Linked DNA regions of Sus scrofa. The protein of the gene in region 3 interacts with the protein of the main gene of each other region in a pairwise test. Links are inferred from orthologs where the notes say so. Each region holds a gene or a part of one and is shown on either strand. Other genes may lie near its edges. The genes, in order: KIFC3, FOSL2, CREB5 and ADAMTSL4.

What was found.
Region 1: the proteins of CREB5 (region 3) and KIFC3 interact in binary tests that used the Homo sapiens proteins (3 or more experiments, as listed by UniProt). The two-hybrid records come from large-scale screens. The link is inferred for Sus scrofa from reciprocal best matches to the Homo sapiens genes CREB5 and KIFC3.
Region 2: the proteins of CREB5 (region 3) and FOSL2 interact in binary tests that used the Homo sapiens proteins (3 or more experiments, as listed by UniProt). The two-hybrid records come from large-scale screens. The link is inferred for Sus scrofa from reciprocal best matches to the Homo sapiens genes CREB5 and FOSL2.
Region 4: the proteins of CREB5 (region 3) and ADAMTSL4 interact in binary tests that used the Homo sapiens proteins (3 or more experiments, as listed by UniProt). The two-hybrid records come from large-scale screens. The link is inferred for Sus scrofa from reciprocal best matches to the Homo sapiens genes CREB5 and ADAMTSL4.

What each region holds. Positions count from the first base shown.
Region 1 is NC_010448.4:19,665,075-19,668,637, forward strand, and holds part of KIFC3 (kinesin-like protein KIFC3), read right to left. Parts: intron 2,390-3,563; coding exon 2,208-2,389; intron 1,184-2,207; coding exon 1,079-1,183; intron 1-1,078. UniProt on the Homo sapiens protein: Minus-end microtubule-dependent motor protein. Involved in apically targeted transport. Required for zonula adherens maintenance.
Region 2 is NC_010445.4:110,839,869-110,844,195, forward strand, and holds the start of FOSL2 (fos-related antigen 2), read right to left. Parts: upstream 2,849-4,327; 5' UTR 1,824-2,848; intron 1,798-1,823; exon of another isoform or gene 915-1,797; intron 1-914.
Region 3 is NC_010460.4:43,858,974-43,862,536, reverse strand, and holds part of CREB5 (cyclic AMP-responsive element-binding protein 5), read left to right. Parts: intron 1-2,926; coding exon 2,927-3,256; intron 3,257-3,563. UniProt on the Homo sapiens protein: Binds to the cAMP response element and activates transcription.
Region 4 is NC_010446.5:98,579,238-98,582,800, forward strand, and holds part of ADAMTSL4 (ADAMTS-like protein 4), read right to left. Parts: intron 3,492-3,563; coding exon 3,287-3,491; intron 3,096-3,286; coding exon 2,923-3,095; intron 2,769-2,922; coding exon 2,657-2,768; intron 2,553-2,656; coding exon 2,367-2,552; intron 2,180-2,366; coding exon 2,050-2,179; intron 1,712-2,049; coding exon 1,507-1,711; intron 961-1,506; coding exon 784-960; intron 471-783; coding exon 264-470; intron 172-263; coding exon 1-171. UniProt on the Homo sapiens protein: Positive regulation of apoptosis. May facilitate FBN1 microfibril biogenesis.

The DNA.
Region 1 (3,563 bases), on a different chromosome or scaffold from region 3:
CTGGTATTCCCGAGGATGCAGGTTTGATCCCTGGCCTTGCTCAGTGGGTCAAGGATCCAGCATTGCTGGGAGCTGTGGTGTAGGTCACAGACATGGCTCAGATCTGGCATGGCTGTGGCTGTGGCCAGCAGCAACAGCTCCAATTCGACCCCTAGCCTGGGAACCTCCATATGCCACAGGTGTGGCCATAAAAAGAAAAAAAACAACAAAAAACAAAAAACCCCCAAAAACCCAAAAACTCTAAGCACCCAAGACAGAGCGGGAACCTAGGAGCTGCACCCCACCCCCAATCTGGCTTGGCCTGCCCCTCGCTAACCAGTCTCATCAATCCCAGAATTGAGGGAAAAGAAGGTCTGGATTGGAGGAGAAGGGACCACCATGTCAGTCCCCCCCAGAGGATGTTAAAGCCTGGGCCAGCAGGGCCCTCTTACTGTCTTTGTTGGGACACCGGCCCACCTCCCCTACCGGGAGAATCCCACAGCAGCACTACCCCCCAAGAGCCAGGGAAATGCTAACAAACCAAAGATACCGCTGGGGCCTGCTTTCCACTTCTATCTATAGTCAGAGCCTTCCTCCTCTCAACACCCCCATTCCCAGCCACACCCCACGGAGGGGGGCGTGGCGCAGGTGCGGAGCTGAGGCCCTGGGAGCAGCAGGTAAGACCTGGGTGCCCAGGACAGCTTCACTGGCTGGTCTCCCCCAACTGCCAGGATCTCCTGGGGGACAGAGATGCACCCTCCCTCATGCTGACACGCCAGAGCCCCCACATGGAGCGCCATACAGCAGCAGCCCAATAAATGTGTTTGAGTGAAATCAAGCCAGTCCTGAGAGACGCCCGCAGCGATCTGCCCTGGACTCTGAGCCCAGGCCAAGACCCCTCTGAGGCCAGAGGCTATTGCCAGCACACCTCCCCCGCCCCGATACCCACTGGGACCATGTTGGGCTTGTGCCCCACGGCTAACAGGGTAACGTGGGGCCCTGCTCCAAGGTGGCCGTGAAGACCAAGCGAGGCACAACACGGTGGCAGTGGGGGGGGGGTCTTCACTCTGAACCCCTGCCCCATGCAGTGGGCACCCACCTCCATCGTGTACGTCTTGCCAGCCCCTGTCTGGCCATAGGCGAAGATGCAGACGTTGAAGCCGTCGATGCAGGAGGTGATCAGGGCCTGCACCTCCTGGAACACCTGGGGGGGGGACATGCGATGGAGGGCGTGGGGCTGCCAGGACCAAGGGCCCCTACCAGCAACTTCCTCATGACCCCGCCCCCTGTGCTTCAGCAACCCCACAGCACATGCTATTGTGGGCAACCAGCTCACTCTGGAGGAATCCATGACTACTCGGTCACTGACGCCGGCATCAGTGGGCGGTCTCACTGCTGAGTGACTGAAGGGACTGCCCACCAGATTCGGACGCAGGGGCCGCCCCGCCCGGGAACTCAGGAGCCCTCCCCAGCTTCTCTCCTCCCAAGATGGGTCAGAAAATGATGGCAGAGCCAGCATATGCCCGGCACCGCCACGGGCCTGCCTGCCAGCCCACAACAAAAGACAGGGGCAAAGATAAACCCTGGAAGGGGATGGCAAGGCATGGGCAGGACTGGCCTCCCCAGGCTGGCCCTGGCAGAGATGAGAACACATGGCTCACACAGGCTGAGCGCTCCTCACTGAGGCCTGAGGGGCAGCGTGGGACTCCCTAGGGAGACCCTTGGCACTGACACAGGAGGTGCTCCTGACTGGAGCGGGCCTGCCTCTCGGCAAGTCCGAGTCTCGTGGATGGGCGGAGCCAGGTTGAGTGGGACGGACCATGGGAGGGGCCCCCAAAGTGGGTGTGGCTGAATATGGGTGGGGACCACGTGGGTGGGAGGGGCCATAAGAGTGGGTGTGGCTATGAAAGCAGAGGGTTCACTGGGTGGAATGGGCCCAGGAGTGGGTGTGGCTATGCAGGTGGGCGGGGCCATATGAGTGTCATAGGTTATGTATGGCTCTCTCCTTAAGCAGAGGCTTCTGAAGCCTTCACTTTTATCTTCCCACTCTCTTCTCTCCTCCAGAGGAGAGGAGAAGGGCACTGTGGGGTCCCCGGCTTCTCCTTTCTGTCTCCCCTCTCTTACGCTTCTTTTTGCCCAGCCCCCACCACCTCTCCCTCTGCAGGTGGGGTGACTATCTCCCCCTCCCTCCAATGCTCTGTCTCTCCCCGCCGCACGGCCACACTCACGTCCTGCTGTGAGGCCCGCGGGGAGAAGACCTTGTCCAGCTCGAAGGAGACAGGTTTTCCTTTGTGCAGCAAATGAATGATGGAGTCATCGTCGGGATCAAAGGTCACGGCATTGGTCGCCTCGGGTCCTTCCCCATCCTCTTTGGTGACTGGCCGGACACGGGCAATCACCCGGATGTTCCCTGGATTGGGTGGGGGAAGAGAGAGGGGTACAGGTCAGGTCGAGACCAGACTGCCTCTACACTGGTGTCCACCGCTGTCCAGAGCAGGCTAGTGGTTCAGGAGCTCCCCACCTTCTAAGCAAGGCCCCACTAGGGCAAAGTGGCCCACAAAGCTGTTATCAGTCACTCACACTACAGTATGAATTCATTTATCAATACATTTTCTGGCTGAGCAAACCAGTTGAGGGTAGGAGCCTCATTTTGGGGCCATGGAAGGAAGGTTGGTTGTGGGGCTCAGACATTGCACCCAGTGTGGGTGGGATACAAAACGGACACTCTTTACACACCTGGACCTCAGTTTCCTTGTATACACAACAAGGAGCTTGGTCTATCACTCTAGAAAGGCACTGAGAATGCCAGGACAGGGCCTGTACATCAGATGGGCAGACAAGGTGGAAGGTGGACAACTGGCACCACACTGAATGGGCACACGCAACAGGGCAGGCACCGGGGTGTTTGAGGCACAGATCTGACCGTGTCACCCCCTTGCTAGGGTGAGATCCCAGAGCTACTGGAATGAAAATTCCACACAACAGCCAGCATGGCCCACCTTCCCTTCACCTCTCCACTCCAGCTCCCAGTCCAGGTCTCAGCCTTAGCTTGGCCTCCTCCTGGAAGCACCCCTCCCCCCAACACTCCCAACTGTCAGATATTCAGGGGCTCTCAGCCGCCCTCCCCAGCCTGGGTAAAGGGGCAGTGAGGGGGTTCCCTGGGTATTAATGATCACTGTGTGCTCCCGCAACTGAAGTGAGCACCATGAGGTCAGGGATGGGTTCTGCGGGCCCAGAGCACATCCTCAGGGTCTGAAATAACACCTGGCCCAGAGCAGGTGCACCCTTGACCTCTGTGCAGTGAATGGGTGGCATCTCAAGCTTGACCAGGCCCTAGGTCAGAACAAGGGGTATTCCAGCACCCCCCCACACCCAGTACATAAATACTCCAGCCCTTAGCCACCCGGTAGCCTGCCAGGGGCCCTGGGGCAAAGGCTTCAGAGGTGGACAGGTCCGAGGTGGACCATTCGCTGGCCATGCCGTTTTGAGCAAATTCCCTGTGACGTCCCTGTGCTGATTTCCTTGTATACAAAGAGGGAATCACAAAAGCTCCTAAGGGATGCTCCAAGGAGTGGTGCTAGGGG
Region 2 (4,327 bases), on a different chromosome or scaffold from region 3:
GGAACAGACAAATGGCAGCCTTGGAAAAGTTTTGGGTCTTGTTTTTGTTTTGTTTTTTCATTAAAAAGGGAGCCCAGCTGATGAAAACAAGTTATGAAATGACCTATGTTTGTGTAACTGGCTGGATTGCGTAATGCTCAGGGCCTGAAACCGTAAGAGTCGAGCAGCCAGGCAGGGCATATATCTGGGAGGTGTTTTCCTAAGAAAGTTAGGAGAGAGAAAAAACAACAACAGCAATAAAAAGAAAAAGCCAGGAGGGGAAGGTATGTGCAACTATTAGTGACAAATCAGAATCACCCATGACCAACCTTTGAGATTAAAACTATAAGTGGAACAGGAAATATTTTTCATGCTTCAAGTTCCTGCCATATACAAGAACAGAGGTTTTTAACAAAGAGTTATCTGCACCCCCTTCCCCCCAAGTCCCTGGGACTCCTGGCCATGTGTTAAGATCAAACTTTACCAAGTGAGAGAGGAGAAGAAAGCCCTGTGTGGGGTGGACAGCAACAAACTGCTCAGGAATATTAGACCCCACCAACAAAGCAAGCTGGAAAAAATAATATTCACTCGCCCAAGGTAAAACCAGAGACCCCTCTTACATGGTTTGGTCCACTGAGACGCCACTGGAGGAGGAGGGCCCATCCCTAACTGCCAGGAAAAGTCTCCCTCTCCCCGTAAAGGAAGCTAAGAGAAATAAAGTGATTACAGGTTTTATCTGGTATGTAATAAAGTTACCTTGAGCCTGGGTGGGGTCGTAGCCCAGACTTGTGAAGTAACAAAAACCTCTCACGTCAGTCCTTAGGACCACAGAACAGCTCTGCTCCAAGTCAGAGAGATGATGGGAAAACCCTCCCCTCTTCCCACCCACCCCCCAAGAGTGGACAGGCCAAGAAACTCATCCAAAGCTGAGTTACCTTGCCAATCCCTCCGGTTTGAAAGGTGCCTCACTCAAGCTGCTGGGCCGAATGGGCAAGCATATATGCAAGAACCCCGTGCAGCAGTTATTACTAATTGCAAAATCCTCATGTGTTGCAGCATGCTAGGAATTAGCCAACAGCTGCTTTTTGCTTTGGTAATGAGGCCCCATTACACTCTGCTGGACTGAGTTCTCTTCCTTCTTCCTAGCACTGGTTTCCTGTCTGATTTTCTTCCAAAACAGGGAATTGCCTCCGCTTGCATCCTGGGCTCAAAGCCCTAGTGACACAGATTATTCAATCGGGGCACTGATGTCCGGTCGGACTTCCCATCCAGGCCCCAGGGTCTGAGCAAAGCCAGGCGGCGACGTTGTAACATTTCAGTGATGACTGCCATAGAAACAGCAGCCAAAAGAGCAGATGAGACATCAGAAGATTCCCTTCCCATCGGAGAACGGAGATGGGGGGGGGGGGTGCTGTGGAAATGGAGACTGAGGGAATGGGTATAAATGACTCCCACCCGCTGCTTAATGATATCTGGATTCAATACAAACCACCAATGGGGCTGGAGAGCAAACAAAAATCAAACACTTTGGGACAAGACTTGAAATGCATCACCTTAGTGCTCAGTATTAGGGGTGCTCTGACCGTACCCTCAATGCACCAACCAGGTTCTCTACAGTGGGGTGCTAAAGGGGACACCGGGGCAGGTAAAAAGAAGACACAGAAAAGCCATTTTAAGGACTCACCAGGTATGGGGAACCACTTTGGAATAAGAGACCCCTCTTCAGATACCAAAGAGAGCCCCCTTTCCATTTTATTCTCCCTCAGGGTCCCTCCTCCCCAGAAGTCCACCCCAGGCCCTCCTGGTTGGCTGGCTTATAGAAGCCAAAGCCATCATCATCTTACCAGCGCAACTCGAGACAGCCAACTTGCCTAGAGACTCTGCAGATCCTGACCGAGGCGGGCTTCAGGTTCCAGCAACCTTGTTGGTTAAGCCAGCTCCCTCCCAAGAGTGGGGGTCGGGGGGTGGGGGGGAGTGGTGGCTGCAGAGGGCAGGCACCCCACGAACACCACCAACCCAGCAGCACCTTTCTGGTATTTATTCCGGTATTTATAGACACACAGATCTCAGGCAAAATCCCTCTGGTGCAAACCAGTCCGCCTGCTTTAGAAACAAGTTGTTTTCCGGCTTCCAGAACCACCCAGGAGCCTAAGCGAGGTCTCATCCACCGCCCCCACCGCCCCCCCACCGTCCCCTCTCTGCAGGCGTCCTGGCCCCAGATATTCCCAGACCCCCAAGGCGCCCCTTCTGGTCGGCTGTGCAGGCTCCTTCTGTGACCCTAACAGGAGATGGATGGGCGCGGGGGAGAAAGGCGCAGCCTGAGCCAATCAAGGCTGACCTCCTCCTTCCTGACCTTCGCACCTGATTCCCAGAGCGACAACCCTCGCCCTCGCTCCGGATTACTTGAAGGAGCCCATTTTTCCCAGTCCCCAAGTTCTTTCAGAAATGAACGAAGACCGAAGGAGAGAGGGCTTTTTCGCAGGAATAAGGTCCCTGGATGTCGGGAGGTGCCCGTGGGTGCAAAGATTTTTTTTGGAGGGGGGTCTAACCACGGGGTTCCTGCGAGAGAGGTACAGGGTCCTGGGGAAAAGGCCCTGCAATTCCAGGAGCTTGTCTGTATAGGATGTAGTGTGAAGGCGAGGGTTTGTTGGCTCTCCAGCCCACTCGCCGCTCTAGTTTAAAAAAAAAAAAAAAAAAAAAAAGTGTTGGCGGGGGATGGGGGAAGGTTAAAGGAGGTGTCAGGAGGACAAGATGAAAATCTAGAACTTACAATGGAGGCCGCAAGAATTTTCTCGCCAAATCAAGAAAGGGAAAAGAAAGGGGGGGAAAAAAGGCAGTCCTGGCGAGAGGAAGGCGGGGGGTCCACCCGCGGCGCCAGGTGCACCCGGGGCCCGCACCTACCTGCTGGCCGCCGCCGCCGCTGGAGTAGGACTCGGCGTGCGCAGGAGAGCCGCTGCTGCCCCGGGACGAGGTGTCAAAGTTCCCGGGATAATCCTGGTACATGATCCGCGGTGGGGGCCCGAGAGGAAACAGGGTGTTTTTCTTCCCCCGCCCTCGCCGCGGCCGCGCACCGGCAGCTGCGCGCTGGCTCCCTGCCGGCCGCGCCTGGGGCTCTAAGCGTCGCTCCCGGGCTTCTCCCCCTCGGCGGCGGCACTCCGAGAACAGTGCCCCCCGAGCGCCGAGCGCTGCACTTCTTTCCTGCTCTACGAGCGCCGCGGGACCAGTTGTCCACCCGGTCCCTCCCTCTAAAAAGTCCGCGCGTCCCTCGGTCCCTCCCCTGCGCGCGCCCTCCTGCCCCCGCGCGCAATCAGAGCCCAGCCGGGACCGCCGGCTCAATCAAAAATTGGAAATTAAAAAAAGAATAGGAGCCCGGCGAGTCAAGCCTGCCAGGTCTGGGGGCCCCCAATTTCAGACAGGGCAAAAAAGGAAGAAAAAAAAAAAAAGGCGAAAAGAAAGGCTGCCCGCTTGGAGAAACTTCTATTTCCTCCTTTTAGAAAAGGAGCTGAGAATAAACTTCCTGTGGCCGACTCGCCGCCGGAGTTTCGAGCGGCAGGGACACTTGATTAGGTGAAGGCAGCCCGCCCCGCGGCCCGTGGGGTTCCAGCTGAGCTGACGCGGAGAGGGACGCGGGCCCGCTCCCCTTGCGGCGGCTCCGGCGCCCGGACCTGCACCCCTTCCCCGGCGCCCGCTCCCGGACGGGCCCGCCTCGCCCGTCCGCGCCTCTCTCTCTCCCTCTCTCTGTCCCCGCCGAGCGCCGCTTGCTTGCTCGCTGGTTCGCTCGGAGCCCCAGCGCTCTGCCCGAGATGAGTCACTACAATGGCACGAGTTCAACTCCACTCTTTATTCTCCAGCCCCTGTACCTCACGTCAACCCAAGACTCCACCTTGCGGGAGGAGCGCTAGGGGAGGCGGAGGGAGAGGGCCGAGGAGGAGGAGGGGGAAGAGGAGGAAGAGGCGCGGGAGGAGGCGGGCGCAGCACTCCCCTCCCTGCCCGGGCTCCCGGCCGCGCTGACGCCAGCCGCACACCCTGCGCGAGGAAGGAAGGAGGTGGAGGGGGTGGGAGCGCTGTGAGCGCGGTTTGGGGGACCCGAGGCAGCCCGGCCCTTCCCCACCCCCGCCCACCCCCCTGGGCCCTGCGCCCTTGGTCTGTTCCACCGGCGCCTGTTGCCAAAGATGGTCATTTGCGTTAGAGGACGCGCGTGCGGGTTCCCTCGCTTTCGGGTGACGTGGAGGGAGAGGGATTCCCTCGCCGGCTCCAGAGCGCGCCACGGCCTCCCTACTTCTCCACCGCCCTGGGAAGGGGCGCGGGGCGGGGCCCCCGAGAGCGGCCACGCGGGCCCCTGCGCAGG
Region 3 (3,563 bases):
TCTGTGAGTACTTAGCGGTTTCATCTGAGGAATGGGGCTTAGAAGGAAGGGGTAGACAGGTGGCTTTTACTTTTCCAACTCATATTCTTTTTGGGGGGGAGTTAAAGTTTTGCTGAAGTGCATTTGATTTACCAGGTTGTGATGATTTCTGCTGTAGAGAAAGTGATTCAGTCATACATACACACATATCTATTCTCTTTCAGATTCTTTTCCCACATGGATTATCACAGAATATTGGGTAAATTTCCCTGTGCTATACAGCAGGCCCCCACTGGCCAATCATTCCATATACCTCAGTGTCTATATGCCTCCAGTCCATCCCACCCCTGACCTGTCCGCTTTGGTAACTATAAGTTTTTCAAAGTCTGTTCTACAAATAAGTTCACTTATATCCTTTTTGAAAATTCCACATATAAGTGATATCATGTGATGTTTGTCTTTCACTGACTAGCTTCACTTAGTATAATAGTTTCTAGGTCCATCCATATTGCTGCAAGTGGTATTATTTCATTCTTTTTTATGGCCAAGTAATATTCCATTGTATATATATGTACCACATCTTCTTTATCCATTCATCTGTGGATGGACATTTCTACCTCATATTCTTATAGTTGGTTGTCATTTGCTTTTTTTTTTTTTCCTTTCCATCTGTATATTTTTATAATAGTGAAATTATAAAAATAGTTTAGAAAATCCATCAATACTATCCAGTATGTCAATTAAAAATAGTGATTTCAATGCAATTTTTCATAATTTTCTTCACTTTTAAGTTCAGAGATATCATTTAGAAACTATTCTTGAGTAAAGAAACATGTATGTGAAGTCCAGTGATTCATTCAGTTTTCACTTCTTTTGCTTACGTTCTATTCAAATGAGAGGGTTTTTTTTAATCACATGCTATTATGACTCCACTGTTATGGAATTGTTCTGCTTGTTCCTCCATCTCTACATGTGCATGGAGAGAGTTGTCTGGAATGCTGCTCACCCACCAGATATAAACAATGCATTTGGTTCATTGGTTGCTGACTTCATTGTACTTTTAAGCATTGCTTGAATTTTTTATAATGAGCATTTGTATAAAAACAATGAAATCATTTCTGAAAATTGGAGATGAGGAGCATCTGGTCACTTTTCTGTTTATTGTTATTTCATTTAGCGATTAACACAATACACAGCATCTACTCTTTCCCAGGGATTCAGTAAGCTTAGCTTCTTTGGGATTCGGGTCAGGCGCTGCTGTACAGCAGATGCTGCTCATCAAAGAGGAGGCAGGTGGGTTCAGTGGTTACTGGATCAGGAAGTAAGAATTGTTTTCAGTGCTTATGGAATATGAACATAGTCTGTCAAACTGTGCCCCCCCCCAGACTTTTTTTTTTTTAACAAGTGGAGGCTCTTTAGGTTTAACTACAGATTTCAAAGAATTGAATTGGTATTTATCAGTAGTTTTCTCTGTTTGGTTGAGACTCATTCGTATTGTGCATGCTGGAGCATGGCTGCTTTGATCATCATTTTAAATGCAACTCTTCCATTTTGCAACGATTACACCACCATCATCAATCAGAGAAGAACACAAATCAGGAGAGAACTTGGAGCCCCCTAGTAAATACTTTAAGAAGCCAATGTGAGCTTGCCAACTAGACTATCATCTCTGCAGAAGATACCTTTCCAAGGAGTAACTGTATTATAGAGTACTTTGTACGTTATGCCCCTCAGGATAGGATGATAATTGTCTGTGTACAAGAAAAAACAATGTTGAAGAAACTGTGACTAAGCTGATTACCAACTGATTCTTTAAATCGGGGCCAGATTCTGGGCCCCTTCTGGCCCGCTGCCTAATTTTGCACAGCGTAGGAGCTAAAAATGGTTTTTATATTTTTAAACGATTGGGGGAAAAAAATCAAACCGAGGATAATAGCATTTCATGTCATGCAAAAGTTATATGAAATTCAAATTTCCTGTTCCTGAATAAAGTTGTGTCGGAACACTGCATGGTCATTTGCTTACATCTCATCTATAGCTGTTTTTGTGCTTAAAGGGCTGCATTGAGTAGTTTTGAGAGACTCTACGGCATGCAATGATCAAAATATTTGCTATCTGACTTTTTATAGAAAAGTTTTCCGACCTCTGCTTAGGGGTTAGATTCAGGGAGAAGTTATTTGTGTACATGTCTGTTTGCTTGTTGGTGGATGAGGCTTGCGTGTTCAACTTGAACTTAGCCTGCGATGTCATCGTCAAAGAGGCTGTAGAAGGCTGCAATACATCATATTCTCCTACTTTCTTCCTTGCCTTCCTCAAATCAGAAGAACAGAAGCACATTACTGTGTGAGAAAATTAGATTATCTGAGGGACTATGAGAAATATCATAGTAACAAATGGCCTCCAAAAGTTGTATATTTCTAATCTAACTTGAAGACTTAAAATAACATGAGCAGTATTCCTGTATTCTAAAATTTGAAGTTATGTCCTCTGTGGGTCTTAGAAATCTTTTGGGAAACAAAATTCTTGCATTCTTCTGACTCATTATTAAGCACAGACCATATCAGATGGGCCCTTTGTTCAGGGGTATTATCGACTTGAATGGTTCTATTGGGTTCATGCTTGCGTTTGGCTGTCAATAGGTTATGATGAACAATTGGATAGCAGAAGTACCTTTTAGCAGAATGTCTAGGATATCCTGATCGTTTGCCATGACCGTTGAACTAAGTAACATTTACGGTTGATATTGACCCTCCTACCTACTATAACACGCATGAAAAATTGAAATTAATAGAAAAGCCATACTGCTACCAGTTTAAAAAAAAAGATGTTAACAGTAGTACCGGAAAACATTATAGAATTGAAAAGATGAGTCATTTGGATTCAAAATCCCTATCGTGTACTACGTGACTGACCTCTAGTTGTCCCCTCTTGTTTTGTTCTGTTTCAGAGGTTGAAGGCTGCGTTGACCCATCACCCGGCTGCCATGTCAAATGGGAATATGAACACCATGGGACACATGATGGAAATGATGGGCTCCCGGCAGGACCAGACGCCACACCACCACATGCACTCCCACCCACATCAGCACCAGACACTGCCAGCCCATCACCCCTACCCGCACCAGCACCAGCACCAGCACCCAGCACACCATCCTCATCCTCAACCCCATCACCAGCAGAACCACCCACACCATCACTCCCACTCCCACCTTCATGCACACCCAGCACATCACCAGACCTCGCCACACCCACCCCTGCACTCCGGCAACCAAGCACAGGTAGACCTTTTTCATGACTCTTTCCTCCTTCATGTTCAAAGTACAGGCTCTAATGTGGGCTCATTGGCGGCAACGTTGTTTGACAAGTCCAGGTGTTCTATCTGACACTCTGGGGGGCTCTGTTCATTACCTAGGAGGTAACGGTTACCCATAAGACCCTACCAGATCATAGTTGCTAGAACGAATACAGTGAATATCAGGTCTAGTGTCTAGGGGAAAATGTAAACTTCAAGTTCTCCAAAATCTATTTTGGCAGTGTTTCGCAAAATTAACCCTAAAAATAATAATACCAATGGGAGGATGAAGA
Region 4 (3,563 bases), on a different chromosome or scaffold from region 3:
GGGTGTAGAAAACCATCGGTCCTGGCAGTTCTGCCCCTGACAGGGCTGCAGGGCAGGGGGCCTGGGCAAGTGGGAACAGTTGCTAGGAGAAGTCACGTTGAACTCAGTCCCCAGTTTGGACACACAGATGATGTCTCTACGCTGTGTGCCAGAGCCACATTCCGAGGAGCACTGATGGGGAGGAAGGGAAGGGACAACAGGGGTTAATCCTACCTCCCCACAGGGAATCCACTGACGGGCCCCCTCCCAGGTTCTCAGCTCACCTCAGCCCAGGGCCCCGTGTACCAGCACCACGTCACCTCGCAGGGCCCCAAGCTGCAGGCACGCATGTCAGGGGGGCGGCTTCCTGGTGCACAGGTCTGCTCGCTGGCTCCTGCCCCTGCTTCCTCCTGGCCCACCCCATGGGCCTCCCCACTCCCAAGGCAGACCACAGAGCGTCGCTGGATTCCCGTCCCACACTCGGCTGAGCACTGTTGGGAAGCAGAGAGGGCTGTGACAGGTAGGGGAAGAGGAGGGGGCTGAGGACAGACACATTCTGGACCGGGGATAGGGAATGCCCCCAGGGGTACCAGCCAGATACAGGGAGACTTTGCCGGCAGGGGCAAGGGTCTTAATGTAAGTTTTCCTCACTTAGCTCCAAGTTCCCGGCATCAGCAGCATCTAGCATACAGCAGGTGCTTGCTCAATAAAAGTTTATTTAACCGAGTTGGAGAGGCTCTGAGAGGGTGTGGTGGATGTGGGGCACCAGGGATGGGGACTTGGCTGAGGGGGTGTGGGGCCCACCTTGGAGCTCCAGTCGCTGTGGAACCAGGCCGTGGTGCAGGGCCCCATGTCACAGGCCTCTCTGCTGGGGGGCCTCGGAGGGCCTGAGGCACACTCTTGCTCGCTCACTTCATCACCGTTGTTGCCCACACAGCGGACCTGCCGGCTCCTCTGGCCTCGCCCGCACCGCACGGAGCACTGATAGAATCAGGGGCAGCGAGGGCTGAGCTTCCCTGGCTCCATCACCAGCCTCCAGCTCTTTTGATTTTTGGTCTTTTTAGAGCCGCACCCGGGGCATGTGAAGGTTCCCAGGCTAGGGGTAGAATCAGCGCTGTAGCCACCAGCCTACACCGCAGCCACAGCAATGCCAGATCCGAACCTACACCACAGCTCACGGCAACACCGGATCCTTAACCTACTGAGCGAGGCCAGGGATCGAACCTGCGTCCTCATGGATACTAGTCAGATTCGTTTCCGCTGAACCATGGCGCGAACTCCATCTCCAGGGCTTTTGAAGCAGGATCTGCCTCTGCTCCCTGGCTCAGCAGTTACAGGGTTTGTGGGCTGAGAAGCGGGCAGAGTATGGGGCTCTGGGCCCCCAAGCCCTGGTTCAGTCTCTCAGCTGACTTACTGGTGAGATCTCGTTTGAAAAAAGTTGCTACTGATTAAAATGGGGATGGAAAAACCACTGTTCTGGCTCACTGGTACCTACTCCTCTAGGCTTCCGGGCCCAGGTCCACTCACCTGGCTCCAGGGGGATCGGACCTCCCAGTGGCCACAGAGGCGCAGCTGGCAGGGCTGGGTGATGTTGGGCCGGGGCAGATGTCCGCAGCGCTCTGGGGGCACCGAGGAGCCACCGCCCCCAAACTCCTGCCGGCAGCGCAGCTGGCGGTGCTGGGTACCAGGGCCACAGGAACGGCTGCAGGATGTCCACTCGCCGGTCTCCCAGCTATGGGTATGGGCAGGGCGGGAAGAGACAGAGAGACATGGATGGCAGAAACAGCCGCGTGTGGGGCCACCACATTCAGGGAAAGGGTGGACAGACGGGGTTGGGAGGAGAGGACAGAGGGCATATTTAGCATTTGGATTGTGGGGCTCCTGGTAGGACTCAGGCTGCCAGTTTTCTTGCTATCTATGGAATGTCAGCCTTTCTAGCTGAATAATATCTCTGTGTTGCCAAGAAATCTTGTGTTGAGCACAGAGTCCAGGTGTGATTCTGCAGGTGCGAGGACGTGTTTCCCCAGGGTGGCTGTTATGTTCCCAACCCTCCCGGTGGATTATACGCACTATGGTGGGCACGGGGGGCCATGGCAGGGTTCCTGGGAGGCTGGGGGCCTGGCACCCATGGCACAGCTGCGTTCATCCAGTTCCTCTCCCGATTCACGAGAAACGCAGAGGAAGATGGGGCGCCAAACACCTGAAGGGGATGAAAGCCAGAGGAGGTGGGACGGCTCAGCATCCAGTGTCAGGGGGTCCTAGTCACTGCAGGCTGATTTGACAGAGTCAAGGTGTGGACCCACCAGCCAGGCGATGGGATCGGGAGCACCAAGTGAGGGATTTGGGCTAAGGGTGCCAGGATTACAGGCTGCTATATGAAGTCTCACCTTTGCCGCACGATGCCGAGCACTCAGAGTGTCCCACCCGTTTCCAGTATCCGGTTGGAGACCCCAAGTGTGTCCTGGGATGGGACGGGGCAGGCATCTGGGGGATCCGCACCTGCCGCTGGAGGGTACCAGGGGTCCGGGCAGGCCGGGATGCCGAAGCGGGTGGGGGCTCCACCCTGAAAATCTCTGTGCAGGGAGAGTCGTGTAGACAAATCAGATGCATCCCCACTGCCTCGAGCTTCCCCCTTGGCCTCTCCTCCTCCTTCCGGGTCTGGGGATCAACATCTTACCAGGCTGGAGCTGGGGGAGATGGGGCTCTGGGGTCGGGTTCTCAAGGTCTGGGGGAGGTGAAGAGATGACATACTGATAGAAAACGCCTGGGCTTTCCTCCTGAAAGATCATCTGAGGAGAAAAGAGAGAAGCCAGTGGGTGCTTGCGGGTGGCTGGGGTCAGGGGCATCCAACAGCCTTCTCCCCATCTGAGACCCAGAGCTTTCCCCTCAGAGGAGAGGCCTCCCCCGCAGGGCCGCTTCCCCAGACCCAGGCCCCACACTCACGTAGACATCCACAGGCTGGGTGGTGGGGCCTTCAGCAGACAGACTCTCCCCTGCGCCCTCCTCTCGAGGAGGACGGTTGTACCGGAAGACAGTCCCGCCGGCCGTGTAGGACCCGGGGGGATCCACAGCCCAGTTCCCATTGATGATGGACTGGCCCCCAGGGCCTCGAAGCGCTGGAGGTGGCAGATCAGGACATGCGAGGTTAGTCCCATCACCCTCAGCCACTGCTTCCCTAGACACCCCCAGACACCGCCAGCCCTTGCGCTTCCTCACCATCCCCACGAGGGAGGGCAGAAGGGGCGCTGACTCGCTGGCTGGGCTGCATGGAGGTGTGAGGGGCAGAATCAGCAGGCCAGGAACTCACCAATGTAGTTGGAGCTGGGCCGGAGCTGGGCGATGTGGAGCCGGGAGGCTCCAGCAGGAATCACCAGGATCTTCTGATAGCCCAGAGAGCCCCCTGGGTCAGTGAGGTTCCCCGAGACCAGGCGGCAGGTAGAATCATCACCCCCGCAGACTCCACAGCCATCTGGACGCCTGCCGGAGCCCAGGATCCCATCACAGCCGGGGCTCTGAGGGAAAGTGGAGGGAGGTGGGGGCTGCTGGAAGCCAGCCCCCACCTCACACCTGGCCCAGTTCTCTTG